Struthio camelus: one gene and its partner. The protein of the gene in region 1 interacts with the protein of each later gene in a biochemical or structural test. Links are inferred from orthologs where the notes say so. Each region holds a gene or a part of one and is shown in the gene's direction. Other genes may lie near its edges.

The links.
Region 2: the proteins of DLG3 (region 1) and GDA form a complex in vitro, tested with the Homo sapiens proteins (2 studies listed by BioGRID and IntAct, with this or other methods). The link is inferred for Struthio camelus from reciprocal best matches to the Homo sapiens genes DLG3 and GDA.

What each region holds. Positions count from the first base shown.
Region 1 is NC_090952.1:25,433,978-25,441,672, forward strand, and holds the start of DLG3 (disks large homolog 3), read left to right. Parts: upstream 1-4,691; 5' UTR 4,692-4,753; coding exon 4,754-5,095; intron 5,096-7,695. Other genes in the region: disks large homolog 1-like, read left to right, coding at 362-373. UniProt on the Homo sapiens protein: Required for learning most likely through its role in synaptic plasticity following NMDA receptor signaling.
Region 2 is NC_090982.1:26,799,421-26,806,731, forward strand, and holds the start of GDA (guanine deaminase), read left to right. Parts: upstream 1-4,298; 5' UTR 4,299-4,449; coding exon 4,450-4,572; intron 4,573-7,311. UniProt on the Homo sapiens protein: Catalyzes the hydrolytic deamination of guanine, producing xanthine and ammonia.

The sequences.
Region 1 (7,695 bases):
GGGCGCTATTTCGTAAAGGCCGCCCGGTCGCAGAGGCTCTGACAGCGACCAGGTTCCTCCTGCAAGACTCCAGCTCCCGCCTGGGCTAAAGGCAAGTGCAGAAAGGACCAGTGTGACGGCGCTTGTGTCACCGTCCTCTGCCTCCGAGGAGCAGGCTGCCTTCAGACCGGTCAGTCTCAAGCAGTGTTTGAAGCTGTTCATCCTCAAACACTTCTGCCCCATTCCTAGAAAAGCTGCAGATGCCACAGAGACTCCCTGAAATGGCTCAAATCCCGTCCTTCTGAGTGACCTTGAAAGGCTGCTAAGGACGAAGGCTGCACCTCTGAGCCTCTCCCTCACGCTTGCCTTCCTCTTCCCGCAGGACTCCGTGTGAGAGCGAGGAAGCGACAACAGGGGCTGAGATGCCGCAAGGCCAGATAAAACCTAGCTCTGCACCGCCCTCGGGCCGTGTAAATAGCACCGTCTCCTGGGATTTCTTGATGCATTGCTGAAATTAGCACCTGTAAAAAGAGCAGCTGCCAAAGCTGAATTTAAATAAGACGGGCAGGCTGCTGGTAGGAAGAGGATGGGATCAGCGAATGCTTGGTTGCCTTAAAAAGCTCCCCTCGGTGAAGGCATCTGTCTGGAAATGAGGACCTTGAGTGGTGCTCGATGACCAGCTAACTGGGGCAATAAGCCCACATCTGCCTGGAGGTGGCCAGACCCTGTGTCTGCCCCTCTAGACCCAGACTGGGATGTAGCAGCGGAGCCGCTTGCACCCCTCGGGCTCTGGCAGCATTGCTCCCCACAGCTGGAGATGCCGATGTCCGCGGGAGACACCTCCAGCGATGCAAGATGCAGATGCATGTAGCCAGCTGGCACTGGCCTCCGGTCGAGCACAGCCAGTCTTCTCTACGTGATAACGTGTCTCAAGCCACTCACAGTGTTAGGGAGCATCGCAAACAGGCAGCAGCAACCGGGGATGGTTTTTTCTTAATTGGGCCAGCAGATGACATGTGCAGCTTGCCGTAAACAAGTAGGAATTAAACGACTCTTGCAGCAGGGACAGCGCAGTGGAGCAAAAATGGAAGATGCAGGCTTTCAGGAAGGGAACTGCAAGCTGATACGAAGGAAGCTCGGATGAAATCCATGAGAGCTGCAGCACGTGAGGCACGAGGACAGGAGCCCTCTGTTTGCAGGTGGTGGTTAGACACTGACAATAAGAGAGTTGGGAGAAGAAACAGAAGATTTAGATCATGGAGCCCTCCCAAGATGGTGTGCTGGCAAGGGAAGGGGGGGGCGAAGGCAATGATGCTGCGCTCGAAGGCTGTCTGCAGGACTCCCAGAGCGCCTTCCTGCTGGAGGACACATTCCAGTCTGCCGCGGAGAAAAGAGATCAAAATGCTTCTCTTGACTGTTCATTCAGCTCCCTATTAAAGCATCTTTCCCCAACAGGTCTCATCCTTTGTTTTGCATAGCTAGGGTTACAAAGGTGGCATGTGCCCTTCCCCACCAAGACCAAATCAGTCTCTTCCAGGCATGGGTCTTCTGTTGACTGTGGCCCAGAGCTGGCTTTGGTGGTCATTCATAGCAGTGGAGAAGGCCCTGGACCCACTGTGGCCAGTGAGGTTCTGCACCACACAGTCCCTGTGGTTGAAAAGTGCCATTTTCTAGGGTGGGAACTGCTATTGGAAGCAGTCTTGCTGCTAGGTCAGAGCAGTAGTTAATTATCAGTATGTTATAGATTCTGGGCACCTCTATTTTTGATGATGAAGTCACTCAGGTCTCGCAGGTGTCACAGGGTGGGAGGTGGAGGGTAGCCAAGATGGGCTTTGTGTCTCTTGACTCTTGTGCAGGAGGCACTGGCCTCCTGCCTGTTTCTGCAAGGCTTCCAGCTCATGGCTCTGCTTTGGTGCGGCGACAGCCTCAGGCAGCTTCGTTAGCGTCCCAGTCCGTCCCCTCATTCCCGCTTCTGCCCTCACGGCAGCAAGATGCCCACTCTCCACAGATAACGTCCCCCAGCATCCCCCCGAAGCACAGGGATCATCAGACCCAGCCCCGCATCCTTTCTGCAGGGTCAGCACCAAGTGCTTTGGGAGGTGGCTCAAGGAGTGGTAGAAGATGTAGACATGATCCTAATTGCTTAAAGCCTGAAGTATAAATTTCTCCATTAGTTCCAATGCTGCAAGCTTTCCCTCCACACACACACACACACACACACACACACACACACACTTTTTCTTTGATTAAAATAACTTTGAAGGGGCTTGTTATCCATGTATATGTCCAATCCCTTTTTGACTTAGTAAGTTCTTGGTGTTTGCAGTGTCCTATAGCAGCAAGTTCTGCAGTGTAAAAGCCTTTTCCTACTTGCAGCCGTTGGCTTCATCTTGCTGTGTCTCCTGGCTCTTTGGGTCGGTGCTGCAGCGTGTTCGGGGTGCAGGGTGCCTGTCACCCAGTGCAGGCCTCCCGGCCTGAGCGTGCACCACCGAGAACTCCTTGGAGCAGCAGGGCTAGCAGCGTTGCTGAGAGAGACTCACCAGCAGAAAACTGGTCTGCCAGGGCTCAGACAGCATGCAGTGCTCTCAACACTGGCATGGAGGGACAGGGTTCTCTGAACTTGCCTATCTGTGAACTTGATGAGCGTCCTGAGCTTGGGAGCCAGACTATTTTCTGTGTGAACGTATCTGAGCTGCAGCACAGCCCCATGGCATCAGGCATGGAGCAGCAAATGGTTGAAATGTCCATTCTGTGTTGGAGGTCACCCACGCAGCCCCAAGGCAATGAACACCAGCCAATGCAGGAGACGAAGGACTCAGGACAGCGTGATGGGGACCTCAGTGCTTGGGGCTCCTGGGACAATGCGGGTCTCAAGGACAGGGGTCTTCTGCCCCCTCCCCTACACCCGGGAGCAACTGCTGCCCTCGACCACTTGGGAATGAACACTGCCAGAGCCCATTTGTCCACAGCAGTAAAGTACAAAAGTACTTTTGTATTGCAGTTTCAAGAGCTAAGGAAACAAGAGGCATGCAAGGGCATTTGTTTTTCTGTCACCCGCTTCCTCCTCCCAAAGCCTGGCCTCTGAGCAGGGCCGTGTTGTGCCAGCTGTTCGGAGGCCAGCAAGCAGCCTAAATCAGGATGGTTGGCCACCACGGCCTGCGGAGCGGGTGCCCACAGTACAGGCAGCAGAGGGGCAGGATAGGGGGGTTCGGAGGAGAGAAGGATGGGACTGTTGAACCAGGTAAAAGTGGAGCCACTGCAATGGCTCCACAACACCTCAGCTGCGCTGGTTGTAATGCCAGCACCTACTACTGATTTACTGTCATCCAAAAGAGGCAAAAAGTGCTAATAATGATTCATCTTTATTGGATACCTGTCTGCCAAAGGGAAGCATAGCGACCAGCGGGCTTTCTCGTGCTTCTCTCAAATCACCGTCATAGATTGCGTCGACAACCCTCGGCCTTGCCCAGTGCCTCTTCCGTGACGCAGAATGAGACTGGGCCAACCTAGCCCATGCCTCAAGCAAGATCATTCTTCTCAGCAGCAGCTAGGCCTGTATCTAGCCTAACTTTAAATACTCTACCTTCATCCCACTGTTGTTCTACGTAGTTATGTACCTTTTCCCTAAGTAATTCTTCACCTGCCCCAGCGTTCATTACAACCTTCAAGAACTAGAAGTCCAAGTTCAGGTTCTCCTGACTTGTCAAATATATTTTCTTGCACCGGCCTTTCTTTCCACCCTTTGATTTGTTTGGGTGACTTTCTTCTGAACTTCTTCCATTCTGGCACTTCTGTTGCAAGCGCTGCAGTGGGAGCAGCACCCGCGCCCTGCTCCCCCCCGCAGAGGTTTCTGCAGCGCCCCCAGCGCGCGCCCTGCTTTTGCCATCCCCTGACGGCAGTTGGTGGATGGCCCAGGTGAGGTCCTTGAGCTTCCTAGACCCTGGCTCGCAGGGCAATGGCAGTGATGCCAGGGTGCTGCATGAGCCACGTGCACAGCCCTAGCAAAGCGGAGCCAGAGCTGCTGTTGGGATGGCAACAGAGCTGCTGCTGCTGCTGCACTGGCTTTGAGCCCTGGGAAACTCATTTCATATCCTGCTGCGGATCACAGCTGATGGGAACCGAGCTCCTGCTAGCGCGCGTCGCAGAGCTGGCGGGACTGCCCGCCGCTGCGCTGGCTCCAGAGTCACAGGGACAGCCCAAGAGCGTGCCTGGGGCGCTGGGGAGCCCGCGCACCCCAACCCGGGCACGGGCATAAGGGGGCGGCTGCAGGCGAAGCCCAGAAGCGTCGGGGCGGCCCAGGATTTCTCTCCTTGCTGGGCTCCCGCAAGGGCTGCGCTGAGGCGCGGCCGGGGCCGGGGCCGGGGCCGAGCCGTCCCGGGGCTCGCAGCCTTTGGGGTCGCCGTTAAGGGTGGCGGCGAGCCACGGCGGCCCGGCGGGCGGCGCGCAGCGGGGCGGTGCGCGGAGGCTCCGCGGGAGCGGATTGGCCGCGGCGGGGAGGTCGGGGTGGAGGGGGAAGGAGGGAGGAGGATGCTCGGCTCCGCCGCAGGTGCCGCGGAGCGGAGCGGAGCGGCGGCGGCCCCGCGCAGGCAGCGGCGCCGGGACCGCGCGGCCATGCGGAGCGCGGCCCCGCGGAGGTAACCGCGCGGCCGGGCGCGCCGCGTGCGCGGGGCGGGGGCCGCGCCCGCCTTCCCCCCCCCCCCCACCCCGCGCATCCCTCCCCTCCCTCCGCGCCCGCCTCCCGCCTCGCTGCCGGCTCGATGGTGTGAGGGCAGCGATGCACAAGCACCACCACTGCTGCAAGTGCCCCGAGTGCTACGAGGTGACGCGGATGGCGGCCCTGCGGCGCATGGAGCCCCCCTCGTACGGCGAGTGGCAGCACGAGCAATACGGCTACGGCGGCTACGGCTCGCAGACGCTGCCGGCGCCGGGGGGGGCCGCGCCCGCCGCCCGCGGCAAGGCCAAGCTGGGGCCCCCCGCCCGCGACGCCGCCGCCGCCGCTGCTGCGCTCAAGCCGCCGCCGCCGCCGCCGCCGGGGAAGAGCGCGCCCAAGGTGAACGGCAGCGGCCCGGGCTGGTGGCCCGAGTGCACGTGTTCGAGCCGCGACTGGTACGAGCAGGTACGGGCCAGCGCCGGGGGGGGGGGGGGATTGCGCCGCCACCGGGCCCCCGCTCCCCGGGAGCGAGCCGCCGCGGCGCGGCCGGGATGGGCGCGGGGCGGCGGGAGCCCCGTCGAGGCGGCCGTCGCGCTGCCCTCGCCGGGCGCCGAGCCGCTGCCCGCTGAGCGCCGCCCGCTCCGCCTTGGGCGGCTGCTTTGCCCGCCGGGTCCCTGCTCCCCTCGGTGGTTACGTAACCCCTTCCCCGCTCGCTGGCGGGCGGTGTGCTTTCTGCCCCGTTGCGCTGCCTCCATCCCTTCCCACGCGCGTCCGTTTCGTCCGTGTCTTCCTTCAGGACCCATCCGCAGGCTGGGGCTCTCTCCCCCCTCTAAATGGAGGGGCCATTCTTGTTTTGAACCCACAAGCCAGCTTAGAAAATGGTTGGAGCTGTTTGCAAAGCATTAAAATGGAGGCTAGACCCTGCCTGAAAAACAATTTACCAAGCTTTAGGGAAAGGCATTTCAATTTGCTGCTTCTGACTCTTTCATTCATTATCTTCAAACCTCACATGTTTTCTTATTGATCCTTCTAATTATTATTTCAAGATGCCGTATGCAGGCAGATACACAGGCATCAACTGGAACTCTCCCCTCCTTTCCCCTCACAAAACATAACCCTCTTCTTCCCTTCCCTGTGTTTTTCTTCATTACTGTCTAAATCTGTAGCTCTGGTTGAATTAATCTGAATCGAAGCTGAAATGCTCAGATGATGTTTACAGAAAGCACCCAAAACCCCAGCCACCTTCCTATCAGCCTGTTCCTGGTTCCTGTCTGTTTATCTGCCGCCCTTTGCATCAAAATCGGTCTCGTCTCTCTCTTGCCTGCTGACTGCAAGCGTTTTTCATCTTTCCTTTGCTATCTCTTTCCTTTGCTCCATCCAGTGCATTGAGCCCTGGGAGCTGGATGGGAGCAGAGAAATCGAAGCAGGTCTGTTCCCTCATTTCCCCTCCTGCTTGCATGAAAGGACCAGCCCAGGGCTCCTGGTAAGATGATTGCAAGCAGGATGGAAGGGGAGAAATGCCAGCTGCATTACTGCCGTGGCAGGCTGGGCAGCGGAGCCTTTCATGCTTTGCAATGGTGGAAGAGAAACCATTGTCTCTTTGTGGTGCTGCCTCGGAGCCCTAGGGGTTGCGTTGGTTGGAAAGTCTAGTTGTGAATCTCTGCTCGGTCGTAGCCTTTCTGGAGGTTGAAAAAAATCAAAACCTTCGCCCGGCATCCCCAGCTGCAGCGAGGCCGATGCCTGTGTGTGAGGCTACGTGAGCGTGGTGGGCTCTGCATGTATAGTATGACGTGTGTGTGGTATGTGCACTGCCCGTATCGGAGAAGACAGGATTGCTCCCTGCTGTGTAGCAAATATGTGCAATGGGTAAAGCTTTGCAGCGAATACGTCGGCAAAGCTCCCCTTCTGCTCCGAAGGTGCAAGGTGTCGGAGCCTTTAGGAATCCATGTTCTTCACCGTCCGGTTGTGGGCAGAGGGACAAAAGGTGGTGAAATGAAAACAGCTGTGCACAGCTTGCATGGAGGCAGATTGGTTTGGCACTGGCAGCCTGGGAGATGTCATGCTCAGGGTAGAATTGGCTGGATGCTGCAGGTGCAAAGCTGATATTTTGTGCAGGAAATGAAGAGGAAGCGCCTCGGTCCTCGACAGCGTTAGGATAACAGCGAGTCTGCCATTATGCAGGACTGCCCCTTTAAATGATATACATGTCCCTGGAAGCACTTCCAACAATAGAGGTGGAAACGAATGCGCAGGCAAAGCGAGGAGGAGGAAGAGCGGGCCAAGAGGTTTCCCTGTACAAAGAGCGGAGCTGTTCACCTCTCTGGGAGCTCCTCCATCTCCCGTCAGAGCCTTTTTCTGCTCCACTTTGCATGCAAGCAGAGGAGAATATGCCCAGTGCATGTGCCGGGGCGTCCGTGTGTGCAGACGCTCTGCCATGTGAAACGTGCTCGCGGCTGCATATGGCGGTGTATGTTCCCCGACATCACACGTGCTCACACACCGCATGCAAGGCATGCCCACGCGTGCTGCCCAGCACGGCCCAGTCCCAGCATTAATGCGTGCCTCCTCCCATCTCCTGCGACCCATCTTTTCTCTCCTCATCCCGCTCCCCTTCTGTAGGACACAAATTAGCTTGCTCAGGCAATGCCAGTAATTGAGAACCCCTGATCCTGGCCATAGGGAGACAGGAAATTTCTGAGCTTGGGGTTTCTTGTTTCTCTTTGCTTTGCTTTTCTTCTCCCTTGCTCTTTCTCCCTTTCTAGATCTTCTGTTTCTCCTCCCTTGCTCTCTCATCTGTCCCCTATTTATTAGTTCATTTTCCATGCACTTGCTTTCCTTGCTGCTCTCCGTTGTTTCCTTCACCGGCTCTGTCCGGCTCCGTGCCCTGCGCTCTCCCAGGTGCCCCTCGCTGTGCTGGCGGAGACGCGAGTCCTCCCGTGCCAGGCTGGGGTGAGCAGAGGACTCCCTGCTTTGAGGGAGGAATGGCAGTGCCTTACAGGGAAGCATCCCTGAGCCGCAGCGGCGAGAGGAGCGAAGTGCTGGAAACCCCTCCTCTCGCCTGCACA
Region 2 (7,311 bases), on another chromosome or scaffold:
GCTTTTCTCTGTGAGTAGATATAAACCATGCTGCCCTTTATTTCATTCTCTGAACAGCCCCAAGTATTTCCTACCTACTTAGTGCTTTCATTTTCAGATAAAAATCAATCAATAAAAGAGAAATCAATTTTATTTTGTTTCTCCATTGGCTTAGTTGCTATGTTACAAAATATTCACAAGGAATACTTTGGTAATCAAATGCAAATAACAACATTAACTTCTATATCAGATCAATAATTTTTGTACCCTGAGGCTCAGGCTCTGCTGGCATGTATTTTATCAGTGTCCTGAAGATAGGAGCTTCCACTGGGTGGCATGTACCTATTAATTGTTTTTTGAAAGCAGGGAATTAAAAATAGGTTCCTCTTTCTTACATTTCTCACGTATTACTAGATGAACAGAGTTGCTCCAAAACTTTGAAAACAAGGCATTGAATTCTTGTTTTGTAAAGTCCACCAAATGAAAGAAAATATCAAAAAGTGGAACAGTTAATGAGAATTTAGGGTGACATTCTAATCCTGCTAAAATCTATTCTGATGCTCTAAAAATACTTTGACTAAATTTTCTATTGTTGCTCAGCTTCAGAACTCAGACTAGACCTGATTTTCACTTAACTTCTAAAACTGAGTCAAAAGACAACGAAATAGACTTTTTTTTTTGAACAGCAGTGGGTCAAAGTATGGTGATTATTTACTTTAATATGAACATGTTAATCCAGGTGCGATGAGTTCAAAGAGCTGCTAAAGCTGGGATTTGTTTTAAATTGCTAGTCAAACAAAACCTTCTTAAGGAATTTGTAAGAAGCTATATCTTTCACTGTAGACCATTAACCATTTAGCAAAATTAAGAGCAGGCTATTACAATTACTTTTTAAGTTAAATAGTAACCAACAATCATCATAAACCATTCAATTTCTACCCCAGACAAACCAAGCACACCTTTGAGCAGTCCTCTTATAGTATCATGGAAGATTGACCCATTTTATCACAGCTGGTTGAGGTCTCATCTGCAGCCATCCCAATATTTTGGGTATGCAGCTGTGAGCTTCACAAGCTAATAACGAAAAAAGGTCTGCGAGGAGGGAAAGGGTTTTAACTGTTCTTTCATCAGCCCTCTTAAGAGTCTCACATGCTCTCTCACAGCTGGGAAAAGCAGAAGAGAAGTCTAGTTCTTTTAACAGTTCAATTATATGTCTTCATAGTGTTTGGAATCCACTTATAGCAATAGATTGACAATTAACAGTTTTTATTATTCATATTTCTTCCAAAAAGTTCTAAAGGAAGAAACTTTCACTGTTTCTGGATTTTTTTCTCATGCATAAAATACTGGTTGGATTAAATCTCACTGAAACTGTTGGAATAAGTATCAATCTTTCTGTAAGGCAGTTGAAAGAAATCCCTGAGATTCCTAATGGAAGAACATGGTTGACATAGAAATTCTCAGAGGCAGCACGCATCCCCCCACCACCTCCAAATGCAAATCAAGGGCTTCTCAGGAATAACGATTTAGCAAAAGTGTACGAGTTCTGCTGAATATTGCTTTGGCCAGCAGGCCACGTGGACCTGGGCAGCAGCCAGGACAAGACCTCAGGATGAGAAGCAAAGAGCCACACGTAGCCTGATGTGAGTGTGAATGAAGCGCAGATACCTAGGGCAGCATACTGCGGAAGACTGCATACCCTGGGGCCTCGCTACCTCCTTTGCCCTGGGAGCTGAGGCTAGTTGCTGCTGCAAGGGCAGAGCCAAGCTGTGTAAAGGGCAGGAGCTATTGCTGGGGAAAGTTGTCCTCGCTCCTGTGTCGGGAGGAAGAGTGATAAGTTTACCTCTCCAGGGCTCTCTGTTTGACTGTTTTGCAGCTCCACTCCCTCTACCTTTTTGCATTTAATGGCTAAAGCAGCCTAGCTCTCGCTTCTTATTCTTAAGGCAGCCAAATACCATTTCAGCTGCCTGGGATCACAACTTGGTATATGGATAAAAAGTGGTTTCAGCTGCTGCTTTGATAAACACAGTAGTGTTACTCTGAGAAATGTCCTTATAAGAAAGCTTTCGTAAATGCTAACTTAAAAGACACTTGGTGCTATTTTTTAGGAAACTATCCAGTGTTGTTGTATTACTCTGTTGTTCAAAGAAGCATGAAGTATTACAATCTTGTAAGCAAGCTGAATTGCAAGAAAGACCCTCATGCAATTTCTTCTCCGAACTAGATTAACCTGTAAGACCAATTTGTGTTTTATTGGCTTCTCATGTCAAAGAGATTAGAAATACAGTGAAAAATTGCAGCTTCTTAAAAAAAAAAAAAACTTATTAGCATCTTCTTGAACTATGAGACCTCTCACAGGAAATGAACAATCTTAGAGTGTGAGAGTCACTTTCACCTATCCATTTTATTCTGGATATTGTTTATGGCCTGACGGAACCACTAGTGAAGTCAAGGTAAGAGCTTTCAGCTGGCTTCAGTAAATCCACTTTTTTTTTTTTTTTAATTTACTTCACGTGAACCTAGAAGTATTCTCATTCAAAGATGGCACAACAAAGGTAGATGAGGTGCACTGAGCAGACTAAAATTACCTTTGTTCTGTGCTTTCCCACTGTGTCTTTGTCTCCTCCCTCCACTTATCTGGAAAGCTTAGAGGAAAGATTATCTCCTGCTATGTTTGTATAGTGTCAGCACAGTGGGATGGGCAAAGGTCTTTTATGATAAACTATGTAATAATAAACTTGGTAATCCAGCTTTGAAAATGGCAGTACCAGAGCCTTGGATGGCAATTTTGTTTACCACTTTTCTATCTGATGAAGCAAGGTGACTTTCAGTGGCAGGACATTCATAGTGTTACCCCTGATTCTGGCTTTCTCACATTAAGAAAAGGGTTTTACTATGTCCCATGAACTCTTATCCAAATATTCTCCCTAGAAATCATCTTAGTGCATGTTCATATATTACGTAAATAACACCTAATTATAAATAATGTATATATATAATATACATTAACTTAAGTTGTTGGAGCAATTCTCTGAGTTAACAAATTTCATTCTTCTCTCCCTTTCGTTTTCCCAGGGCTTCTTTCTCCTTTGCTATAGACCCTCTCCGCTGAATGAAACAGTTGGCTGCTTTCTTCTGGTAGCTGAAGTGCTTCAGCTGGCATCGATTTTTTGCTCCTGTATCCTACTAATGTACAGCATAGGAGCAGAGGACCTAGGAGACAATCTGTGGTAAGAGAGAGATTAAGTACTGAGTACAGCAGAATGGATAGATGGGGCAGGAACTACCATCTACCTGAAACACACCTTTAATATTATAGTATTTTAAGATTAGCTCTATTCTGAAATTGTCCAATAATGTTCCAGGCGCAGGGCAACACCTGCAGTTGCAAGCCTAACCAAAGGAACCCTGTAAATGAAGCTTCTGAAGCTGGTTACAGCCTTTGGTTTGGTTGTAAAGATCAGTCACTGGATATACTAACTACTGTGAGTCATCTTATCGGGTCTGTCATCACTTCCTGGAAAAAGCCAGAGGCGCTCAGAAAGCACCGCTGATGCTGTTTCTGTAGCTGTCAGTCTTCCTAAGAACTCTCTCTTGTGAGCCTGCAGCTCCTTATTTTGTAAATGAAACACACTTATTAAAAACATCTGTTACAGGCTTGTACCTTTGTAAGAAGTCCACGGCAAGCTACCTTGCTCTGGGAAAACACACACAATCCACATTTCTGTGTATTGTGCCATGTTATTAATGTGATAACGTTATCTTTCCTGAGAAGAAAACATGCAAAAGTTCTGCTTTCAAGGGTACTGATTTCCCTTTGGAAGTTGGTTAGTTATTGCTACTTTGGCAACGCGTAGAACTAGACAGAAATGTTTTGTTTCAGTAAAATCACGTGCTTTACAAACAATAAAATTCAAGTCTCGCTTTGTTCCATTTTTGGTGTTTCCTGATGACTTCCAAGCCTGTTTCACTTCCCACTAGGCCAGAAGACATCGGGGCTGCTGGGGGGGCAAAGGGGAAAAACAAACAGGAGAACCAACCAGCCACGGTAAGGGGGAGACCAAACACCCGCGGGGGCTGCGCCAGGGCTCCGCGCCTCTCAGGGCGGCCGGCCTCATCCCGCATGTGCGTCAGCAACAGGAAGCACCGAGTTTGCCCCCTGTCCCCTGCCTGCTGGCGCTATTTGTCTGTTTTGGCAGCAGGACGGGGGTCGCCCGGCCGCCGGGGCAGAGGCCTCGGCGGGGCGGCCGCGGCTGCCGCCACCGCCTCCCCTCAGCGGGCACCCGCCCGGCGGGAGGAGCCGGCCGGCGGCGGGAACCACTCCCCGCGGGGCAAGAAGCTTTGCGGGGGGGAAGGGAAGGGGTGGGGAAATGTTGACAGGTCCAGGAAGCCGCTGTCGGTGCCGAGAGACATCGAGCGGCTGCAGCCCGCTGCGCGGCAGCTGGCAGCCTCCTCAGCGCCGGCGCCGCGATGGGCTCCTCGCAGCACCCGCCGCTGGCCCACGTCTTCAGGGGCACCTTCGTGCACTCGCGCCGCGCCGCGCCCATGGAGATCCTCCACGGCCACCTGCTGGGGGTGGACGAGAGCGGGAAAGTGAGCGGGGGCCGGCGGCGGCGGGGCCGAAAAGGGAGGGCGGGGGGAGCGGGGGCAGCGCCGCCGGCACGGCGGGGCGCCAGCCCGGGGCGGCGGCGGCGGTTTGGGGGGCGGTTGGCCGGGGCTGAGGCGCCCGGGCGAGACCGAAACGTTGGTGCCCGGCGCTCTGCCCAAAAGCGGGCACCCCGGCCGGGAAGCCCCCTTTCAGCCCGCAGCCCGCGTCCTCCGGCGGGTGGGAGGAAGGGGCCGTCCGGTTGGCGTTTGCTGCAGCCCTTGAACCGGGGCACTTCCTGGCTTAAAACACGCGGCGGCTGTAAGGGGTCTCTCGACGGGGCTTGGCGCTTGGTGGGAGTTGAGGGGTGATTGGGGCAGGGAGCCGAGAAGCTGTTCCTGAGGTGCTCTACCTTACTGTCAAAACACATTCTTCGGGCCGTAAGCCTGTCTTTCAGTTTTGCAGATTTTTTTGTTTTTCGTTCTCTGTAATAAATACCAAAGCAGTACAAAAGATTGTAAATAATTGCAGTGTGCCTTCTGTACTCGTATGCTGCCTCCGAAAGCTTCTTCTCCCCCCCCCCCCGCCTTTTTTTTTTCTCTTTATCACAAGAAAAAAAAAAAGCCATGGAGTAAGTCTGTAAAGAATCGTGAAGACCAAGGGTAACAATTTGGCTTGTTAGTGAGTGGTGTGAGCTAAGTTTAAAATGAGCATTGCATTGGTTCTGGTGGGGAAGCTACATCACGCTGGTAACAGTATCACGGTTTCGCAGGGCTCATTGTATAAAGGCAGGTGGCAATTCCCTGGAGACTCAATTTTATATGTGTATATATATATATATATAGAGAGAGAGAGAGAGAGAGCGCAAGTGCAAGCTACCGTCTCTACCCTATACGTAATCAAAATTTCTTTTTTTTCTTTTTGGTGGCTAAACAGCTATGTCAGGCTTCAGTAGCACTTGGAAGATGCATAAAGCACACTTTGAATTTTGGACCCGTTACAGTGTTTGCTTTCACCATCCACACAGGTCAGTGAGGGCCTGTTTCCAAGTGGCTCTTGACTCCGGTGGCACTTGAGGAGTCTGGTACAAAGCATTGCTAAGTCTATGGAAAGCTGTATTTTGATTTATGGGAGGCGAGTGAAACCTTACAAAGCTATATATTGGCTGATTTTTAACTAAAAAACAATGGAGCTGAATGAACAAAGGGTTTGGTTTCTGTAATTCAAGAGCAGGAGGCAGAAACTCACCCGACCCAGCTCTCTCATGGAATTTTCTGGAAAAGAATCACTGCTCTCTGCCCTTGGGAAATTAAGACCTCTACAAGATTTTCTTGGAAAACAGACGCGGTAGTAGGCTGCAGTCAGATGACTGGTGCTCTCAGTCAGCCACTCTCTCCCTTTCTCCCAGTGAACGAGGATTCACTGGATATTCTTTTCTGCATAAACTGGCACGTTCCCACAGAGTAGTTCAGAAAGTTATTTTCCAGAAAAACGTTTGGCCAAAAATAAAATCTCTACCAGAAGGGAGTAACAGGAAGCTTCTTCTGTTTTAATACAAATTCTTGTCATTTTACTGTTCCACCGCAATGAATTGTGGTACCATGTGGTCTATTACTTGTAGCTTTACCTCGTGCAGTACTTCCATTAGCATTACTGAAGAGTTAATGGCACAGGGACTTGATGGGTAGAAAATTGCTTATCTTTATTGTCCAAATATACACCAAAACTATTACTCCCAAAGAACTAAATTTAACTAGACAGGCATCGTTCTGGTGCCTCCTGTTGCTGACTCCATCACGGGGAAATATTGCGTGATTTTTTACGGGGTGAGCAGAGAGCTTTTGTGAACAGGCAGATGCTGTTCCCTAGTTATATGTCCTGGTCTCTCGTCAAAACGGTAGGAGCGTGTAATTAGCGCATGGTAACACTGCACAGTCCAGCATGGGCGTATGTGGCTGATGCAGGCCCCTGACCAAAGTGTTGGTCCTTTGTGCTTTGCCAGTAAGATGAAAAGGCAATTTTAGGAAAGGAAACCTTGTTGTCGGGTATGAGACCAAAGGTATCGGAAGTTAACAAAACCTCGGTTTTATTGAACAGTTGCAATGTGGTACTGTTCTTGAGGAATTGCTTTTAGAAAGAATAGTGTTCTTCAGAGTAAAGAAAATAGAGCCAACTGCAGAGTATGAGTTACCGTTGAAGCACTGGAATAATTAATAGAGTAAAATGTTAAGTAAATGGAACAAAAGCTGCTGCTCTTGAAGGCTGGGGAGGAGCAAGAGTTATGGACGTTAATATTGTTAAGTATTACCAAGCATAGGTGTTTGGCGTAAGCCCGGTAGGATCAGCCTGGTAGGCCCAGTGACACGTGTTGCGCTCAGTTGCAGTTATGGCTGTGCAGATGGAGGTAGCAAGGTACCAGCATCCATGCGATGTTCATTGCTTGCTCCTTTACAGTAGGTTTTTGGGCTGTTCATTTGGCAGGCATGTCTAAATCTGGACTCGTGTTCCAGTTTGGGAAATCAGAGAAGTGATGGACATCATGTCTTTAATAGCAAAATTCCTGAACTTGGTAGCTTCATTAAACGGTGGCAGCAACCCAGTGAGGCCAAAAATAGGACATCCATCATAGTCAGGGACAGAGGAGAGCTACATATTTTTGCTGGCAGCCAATAATTATGAGGTTAGAGAGGGGTGAGTAGGATGAGGGAGCACAGAGAAGGTTGAAGCATTCACTCGTGTTCATTTAG